2 linked regions of the Rattus norvegicus genome follow. The protein of the gene in region 1 purifies or fractionates together with the protein of each later gene. This does not show direct contact. Links are inferred from orthologs where the notes say so. Each region holds a gene or a part of one and is shown in the gene's direction. Other genes may lie near its edges.

Evidence for each region. Proteins that work in one complex are often made in the same cells at the same time.
Region 2: the proteins of Derl2 (region 1) and Serpina1 purify together in Homo sapiens (affinity purification with western blotting; 3 studies listed by BioGRID). This does not show direct contact. The link is inferred for Rattus norvegicus from reciprocal best matches to the Homo sapiens genes DERL2 and SERPINA1.

Annotation. Positions count from the first base shown.
Region 1 is NC_086028.1:56,235,194-56,239,460, reverse strand, and holds the start of Derl2 (derlin-2), read left to right. Parts: upstream 1-1,467; 5' UTR 1,468-1,488; coding exon 1,489-1,581; intron 1,582-2,360; coding exon 2,361-2,426; intron 2,427-4,267.
Region 2 is NC_086024.1:128,650,326-128,654,520, reverse strand, and holds the start of Serpina1 (alpha-1-antiproteinase precursor), read left to right. Parts: upstream 1-1,395; 5' UTR 1,396-1,484; intron 1,485-2,924; 5' UTR 2,925-3,084; intron 3,085-4,195.

The DNA of each region.
Region 1 (4,267 bases):
TCTTTTTTTTTTTTGGTTCTTTTTTTCGGAGCTGGGGACCGAACCCAGGGCCTTGCGCTTCCTAGGTAAGCGCTCTACCACTGAGCTAAATCCCCAGCCCCCCAGTAATTCTCTTAAGTGTGCACTCTAACTCTCCCTCAAAGTTCTCAACATTCCTGGATTGATGCACCATGATATATAACCAAACTCCTACATCCAAACTTCCAGTTCTGAGAAAAATTCTGCTTTTCTCTGTTAGACACTACCAATGCTATGATGAGGCAATAGTTATAAAGATGAAGTTTTAACAAGAATTTGCTAAGACCTCTCCCGTGTTTGCTCCCACTCTCCTCTACGTTGTCCACACTGGCCTAGAACTTCAGGATGCAACAAATCCTCTGGCTTCAGCCTTCAGAGTGGCTATGAGACACAGGCCGGTGCCACTACGTTCAGCCTTATAGTCTTACTTCTAAATGTTATTCTCTCCCACTTTTTACTTGGTTCTTACCAGTCTTGACAGTCACAGTCCCTCGATTTTAATGCTTCTTTATAACTTACTGAATATGTCTGCCACGATCAAGATAGCCTTTGCTCCAACACAATGCATTAGAGGCAGATTCAAGAGCCAGCTCGAATACACATCCCTGAAGAAGCAGCCACACCCTCCTTCGCTCCCCCCCCCCAAGTGCTATTAATTCATCTACCGCCTCTTCTCTGCTAGATTTGAATTCCTGCGGCTGTAAATAAACATGGAAAGTTCCCACACCGTCTCGACGAACGTAGGGGACTTCAGAGCCTACCACCGCCACAGACAAGGCCCAGAAACCGCAGAACCCGGAGCGCTTCCGGCAGTTCCAGCTCCCGTTCCACCTCACAGCCGCGGGGCATGCCGGGAACTCTAGGTCTCCGTGCCCAGCCAGGCCGGACCGGAGGAATTCCCTAAAGAACACTCCGCTGCCCCGAGGCCACTCCTCCGGTCCCGCCCTTTCCGTCCCTCCTCAGCTAGCATACAGCCCCTACCGAAGCGATCCCGGGGGTGATGTAGTCCGCCACACACCGGCTTCCCGCCACTTCCTTCAAACTACACTGAGCTGCTTGGAATAAGGCGGCGACACCGGCTCCTCAGAATCAACTGCGACCTGCCTCTGCGAACGAACGCAAAGGCGGGATGGATCGCACTCCTGATTGGCTAGCCGTGGGTCGAAAGGGGCACTGCGATTGGCAAAAGGAAGGAGACAAGGAGGGAAAGCTAGCTGTGGCCGGCAGGGATTGGCGGAAGGAGCTGGTACTTTCTCTCTGCGTTGGTAGGCGGAGAAGTAAGGATGGGCCGACGCAGAGGCGCAACTCTTGATTGGTGGGTGAGCGGCCCCAAGGCGCCAGCGATTGGTGGGTGTCCGAGTACACAGCGCTGATTGGACAGTAGTAGGTAGGCTGGAGGCCAGTTTTGAGTCCGCCCCGCCGCCTGGCATACTGGCGGAAGGGGAAGGGGGGGCAGGCGCGGTGGGAAAGATGGCGTACCAGAGTCTCCGGCTGGAGTACCTGCAGATCCCGCCGGTCAGCCGCGCCTACACTACCGCCTGCGTCCTCACCACTGCGGCCGTGGTGAGCAGCTGTGGCGCCACATCCTCTTTTTTCCAGGCTAGCTATGACTGCGTCTTCAGAAAACGGGTTTGGGCCGCAGAGAAGCCCAGTGGGTCTGGTCCCAGGGGTGGGTGGAGACATCCGGAGCTGACTCTAGGGTTTGGGATATTCCCAAGGGTGCCAAGCCAGTGACCTGAGAAGGGTGTGCTCCTTCTTGAGGGGCCAGGTCAGTTTCAGACAGATGAAGTCCAGACCTGTAGTGAATCAGAACTGCGGGAGCCGCCCACCCAAAAATGTATCTGAGAGGTCTAGCTATGTCCAGGTGACTAGTGGGAGTTAGGTCCGCTAGGTTCACAGACTATTATATTGAATATAGAAATCTCGAATTGTCTGGAAACATCTTTCAAAAGACGGCCTGTGGATATAAATAACTGGCCGCATGTACCTAGTCCTAATGGTAGCAGGGTCTTAAATCTCTTATTCCCGAGTTGTCTCACCCAGCTGTTTGAGGTGGTGACCACGTGACGCACAGATTTGTAAAAGATGCTGTTGTCTTGTCTCTAAAATATTCCCACTCGCCTGCCTTGTAGCATCCTCAAATATTGCAACATAAAACTTACATCGTGTGTTGATACAAAACGGTTGTGCAAATTCTAAAGAATCTCTTACCAGCTGTCACAAGCAAGACAGAAATTTATTCCAAGGGACAGAAATTATTAGAGCTACTCATTCTTTGTTGTTCATGTTGGAATTTTGTTTTGCGATTGATCTGCTTCAAGAAGTTCTTTTTTCCATTTCAGCAGTTGGAATTGATCACACCTTTTCAGTTATACTTCAATCCTGAATTAATTTTTAAGCACTTTCAAGTAAGTGGTCTATAGCAACTATGATATAATATTTTCACTATCTTTTTTTTTCCCATTGTTTACTAAGTAGTAAATCCTGTCAAATACAGTCTCAAAAAATAACCCAGTGGGGGAATCTCTGATTACAAGTCTTGTTGAGATGTAAAAAGGGAATTCCACAACCTGGTTGGACTCCAGAGTCATTTAAGAGCTGCTAGGTATTTGTAAACTCATCCTATACCAAATTAGAATTGCCAGAGGCGGAGCCAGGGACAGGCAGAGTAAGCAGGAGGATGGCAAGTGCTAGATAGGCTTGGGCTATGAAGCACTGTGTTAAGAAGAATGCTAAGGGTGGGAATTTCGAATTTATCCTCTGTTTAGTGTGTTTTTGATGTGTTGAGATTCTATATTTGACTACAACTAGTTAAGAACTAATGTGGCTATGATCTCAGTAGTCAGGAACCTGAGCCCACCTTGAACTACATATCAAGGAATTGTCTCAACACACAAACAACAATAACAACAGCAGTAATAATAATGTGATTTGAGAATAGACTATCGAGCTAGCTGCCGAGAGAGTCTGACAGGATAGCCTTATTTTGTCCATTTACCACCCAGACACACCTAACACTGTTGTTATTCCTCAAGGTCCAGCTCATGAACTCAGTTTTTTATCACTGGTCTGTCTTCTAGAAGTCAGATTATACTATCGAATTTTATACCATTATCTAAAACAGAATGTTGACTTTCTATATTACAGTTTGAAGAAGTCGTTTTCCATTGATTAAAATGCTAAAGAGAAGTATGTTTTACAGTTTGAGGAAGTCTTTTTCCAGTGATTAAAATGCTGAAGAGAAGTGTGTTTCCATGGCAGGATGGTCATTCACACTCTAGGTGATATGGAGGCAAGACCTCAATGGTCCTTATTGATGCTTTTCCCTGTCCCAGATGTGTCACACTGCCTTTGAACCCAGAGAACTCCAGCTTGCCTTCCAAACCTCTGCTTTTATCTACCCTCAGAGACAGCTTCTTCCCTGTACAGTGCCCTCACTAGCGTGAGAGTGCTATAAACTCTGAGTTGTTTGCATGTGAATAGAGTGCTGGCTCCTTTTCACTCCGCTGTGACAGAATTCCTGACAAAGCAACCTAAGAAAGAAAGAGTTTGTTTTGGCTAACAGTTTGTTGGTAAAGTCCATTGTGGTTGGGAAATTGTGACATCCAGAGCTTCAGGCAGTTGGTCCCCTTGCGGAGGAGTACGGGTGCTCAATTCACTTTCCCCTACTTAGTTGTCCTAGGACCCTAGACTGTGGAATGGTGCTCATTAATGTCCTTCCCACCTTGGGTGACTGAATCTAGAAACTCCCTCACAGACAAACCCAGAGTTTGTCTTGAGTGACTAGATCTGTCAGTATTAATTATCACAAGTAAATTACCAGTGACCAAGGGCTTAAGGGTGTATGAAGCAGTCAGTCCTCTGATACCTTGACTTTGCCAAGTCGAGATGTCTGTGACCTTTGCTAAGATTGCTTCCTTCTGGTTTGTTTGGCTTAATGGCCGAGGTTCTTCGTTTTTTTGGTTTGTTTTTTGGTTTTTGGGTTTTGTTTTGTTTTGTTTTGTTTTTGGTTTGTGTGTGTGTGTGTGTGTGTGTGTGTGTGTGTGTGTGTGTGTGTGTGTGTGTTTGTTTTGTCTATTTTTTGAGATAGTTTATCTTGTAGTTGTGGCTGGCATGACCCTCATGGTATCCTCCTGCCTCAGCCTCCTTGGAGTCCATCACTGTGCTTTTTTTCTTTTTTAAAGACAGGGTCTGTTATGTAGCCTGGACAACTCTTGACCTTAACAATTCTGTGGTCTTCCTGCCTGGA
Region 2 (4,195 bases), on another chromosome or scaffold:
GAAGGAACATCCTGGCCTTCCTGTCCACCATAGGGGGTAGCTTGTGCTTCTACTCAGTGGTTGGGTTACATAGTCTGTGAACCCAGTGAGATCTTTGCCATTCATTTCCTTAAAACATGAGTGACCCGAGTCTGTGTGTTTCTTCTAAAATCTCACAGGCCTGCACTCAATTCTCAGTACCCATCAGATGCCCACTGTGGGCAGAAGGTAAAATCTCCCTGAATTCAGGGTCTGCCATCACTAAGGATGGCCTTGGCGGTGGCGTTGGGGTGCAGGCATGACATCAGCTCCGAGGTAAGCTTGTCACACTCTGCCACCTCACCAGTGCATAAGACTGTGTTCTTTTTAGGTTTTCTTTTAAGTCTAAGGAGTCCATACAACACTCGTGATCCACAGTAAGTAGTGGTATTTTGACTTTATTCTATCCATCAAAATCTCCTAATATTTTCCCGAATGTTTTTTTTTCCTAGTTACAAGAATCTCCCTGTAGTTCCTAGGAGAGCCCTTCCCTGCCTAAGGGCCTTTATGATGTCACCCCTCTGCCTGGCATGTTTTCCCTTCCATGGTGAACCTTGGCTCACTCCCTCAGGAATCATTTCCCTAACCATCCTGCCTGGACTTGTTTTCTCACACACTTCCAGACATTCTACCTCAGCTTTTCCTCAATTTCCCCCTTGGCAGACCTTAACACGTGTGTTATTTGCTTACTCTCCCTGAGGACTTCTCTACTGCTCACTGTTACAACACAGCTCCTTCCTCAACTCCGGTCGCCTATAATTTCCATAGTCACACAAGTAGCCCTTTCTAGCCCCTGCCCCTCCCCCTCTGATGTTCCCAGAACTTCCCTACAGACGGGCACTTCTGTGGTCATGCTTCCATTTTTACCCAAGGACCCGTCATCAGACTCAACGAACAGGCACCTTTCTCCTTTTACCACAAGAGCACAACCAAGCCCAAATTAAGCTTGGTTAATTCCTAATGTTGATGTGCTAAAAACCCAGCAAAATTAAAACCTTAATTAGGCAAATAAGAGGTGTTTTATTTTAGCTAAATGGTATATTTAGGATCAGGGATATTCTGTAGCTCTAGCACAAGGTTTCAGGTTTCAGCAAAATGTCAATATCTTTCTGCCTTTATCCTGGTTAATTACGTTCTATTCAGTCACAGCCCCATGCTTCTAGGGGCTTCATCATAAAACGTCTCATGCAAACTGGCAGTGGGATAGGACACCTGAGAGACACCTGTCCTGCCAGACATCATGGATGAGGTATTTGCTCCTTTCATAACACAGCACAAGACCGCCCAAGTGGAGCATTGTGAGGTAAAAAAGGCCAGAGATTTATTCAGGGCCCCCAGCTCTTCAGTCCAGACGAGGCAGAGAGTGTCTCTTCTGAATGGCTCCAGACAAAATATAGACGCACCACCAGCCTGGCTAGGAAGTAATGCTTCCCATGAGCCCCCAAAGAACGGGAAACCAGACACTGGTAAGTGTAACATGTCTCCTACACCCCTCAGCCATTCTTTCTTCTAGAAGTTCTACCCAGACTGACATCTAGCTTCCAGAGTACCATCAGAGAGATGCTGGTGCCCTGGTATGAATGTCGATAGTTTCTTTGAAGAGGTCAGTTTATCATCTCTGCAGTGGACAAACCAGACAGTCATTTAAAGTGACCTTTTCCTGTGAACATTGCTCAACTTGGCCTACATGTGTTCCTTGGCCTACGAGGATGACAAGTCCAAGGCTGGTTGGCTCCAAGAACCAGGCATTTCTTTGTTGGTGGTTGCCAGTTGCTAGGCTTGTTGACATCTGAATCAGACATTAGGAGTTTATCGTCTTATCACTGTTCTTTCCCTTCATTACGCATGTCCCTTTTGCCCCTACTGAGGTGCTGGCCATTTTCCCCAGCCTCAGAGGCAGAGTAGGCATGATTTACAGATTATTTAAGTTCCAAATGCTTATTTCATGAGCATGGAGTGTGTGTGTGTGGGGGGGTGTGTGTATGTGTGTTTGTGTGTATTTGTATGTGTGTGCATGTATTGTGTGCATCTGTGTGCATGTATGTGTGTGTGTGTCTGAGCCTGTGTCTGTCTGTGTGTATGTGTGTACCTGTGTCTATGTACCTCTGTGTGTGTGTATGTCTGTATCTCTGTGTGTCTGTGTATGTGTGTGTATGTGAGTGAGAGAGAGGGAGAAGGAGAGAGAGAGAGGGAGAGAGAGAGAGAGAGAGAGGGAGAGAGAGAGAGAGAGAGACTGTCTATGTGTCTGTGTGTCTGCACTTGTGCCTGTGCCTGTGCCTGTGCCTGTGTCTGCATATCTGTGTATGTCTGTGTCTGTGTGTCTATGTCTGTGCTTGTGCCTGTGTCTGTGTCTGTGTGCCTGTGCCTGTGTCTGTCTGTGCCTGTGTCTGTGTCTGTCTCTCTGTGTGCCTGTGCCTGTGTCTGTCTGTCTGTGCCTGGGTCTGTGTCTATCTCTGTATCTGTGTCTGTGTCTGTGTCTGTGTCTGTGTCTGTGCCTGTGCCCATGTCTGTGTCTGTGTGTGTCTGTGTGTGTGCATGTGCATCTGTGTGTGTGTGTATGTGTGTGTGTTTGTGTGTGTATGTCTGTGCATGTGTGTGTATGGGGAATGAGAGAGAGATAGAGATAGAGTTTGTGTCTGTGTGTCTGTGCCTGTGCCTGTGTCTGTGTATGTCTGTGTGTTTCTGTGTCTGTCTGTCTGCTCCTATGCCTGTTTCTCTGTGTGTGTGTGTGTGTGTGTGTGTGTCTGTGTGTCTGTGCCTATGTCTGTGTGTGTGTCTCTGTATGTGCAGTGCATCTGTGTGTGTGTATGTGTGTGTGTGTGTGTGTGTTATTGCTCATCTCAGAGATTACAAATTCAGAGATCACTTACTGAAGAGACTGAAATGACTGCTACTGCTCTCCTCAGCAGGCAAACATCTCCTTCTTGGGGAGTCTGGAAGCCAGATATCCATACCACCAATGCTGTGATGTCAGCCATGTCTCCCGGCAACCTGTTGCAGGGTGGTGCTCACCCATGGCACAAGAGGAAACAGATGGCAAACATTCCTGGAAACTGAATTGCCAAGGTAGTGTTCTTGGCAGCCATGGGGAAAAGTGTCAGGCAAGTCCTAGGTGAGAGTTCCACTTCCTGCACTGACAGCTGACAAACGCTGAAGAGGACAGGCTGCCCTTAAACTGAGAGCCTTACTGATGCCAAGGTTAGCAAAAGAGGGAAAAGTCACAGCAATGTGTGGAGACTGTCAATCTATAGGGATTAAGACTTTGTTATCCCAGGGCTCTTAGGGACCCCACCCCCAAGTACAGCAAGATGGGCAAACTGTGTCTTTGCTGTTTCGTGCATTCATGGCAATGCTGGGATTATACTCTACTCCCCTGGCGCCTTTTTTCATTCCTGTAACCGAAAGCTGAAAAAGGCAGCCGAAGGCCAAAAGGGTTCATTTTGGCTTACAACATGACAGTAAAGGTCCAGAACCTCAGCACACAGACTGGTGCAGCCAGCAGTCAGGATGGGTCTTTCCCCCTATATTAAGCCAGTTTAGAAACGCCTCACAAACATGCTCAGAGCTTCAACTACTAGATGATTCTAGAACTCATCAAACTGACAGTCAATGACAACCATCATAATCTGGGCTCATGGTTTAGAGAAGCACATCAGGATTCTGTTTCAGAACTATCTTAAGAGTGTGGGGGGGGTTGCAATCCTCAAAGACACGAGTCAAAATATCATTAATGTCCTGCCCCAGGAGTCCTGCCCTAGGTGTCCTGTCCAAGATATCCTGCCCCAGGTGTCTTCCCCCAGGTGTCCTGTCCAAGGTGTCCTGTCCCAGATGTCCTGCCCCAGGTGTCCTGTCCCAGGTGTCCTGTCCCAGGTGTCCTGCCCCAGGTGTCCTGCTCCAAGTGGTCAATGACCCAAATGCTTAACAGGGAAGCAAAGCTTCTAAGCATTGCCTTTAACATTGCATCTAAAACATGACTTTAGACATAAAATACTGCATTCTCCAAGGTCTCTCCACAAGAAGAGGACTAACACACTGATTTTCAAAAGCCAAGCCAAGCTGACTCCCAGGCCATGCTGAACATCTCTGGGACGTTCCTGGTAGAAGCTGCCAGAAGATGAGCGTATTATCCTAAGTTCTCACACCAGGAAGCAACTACACGAGCTCTAAGTCCAGTGCC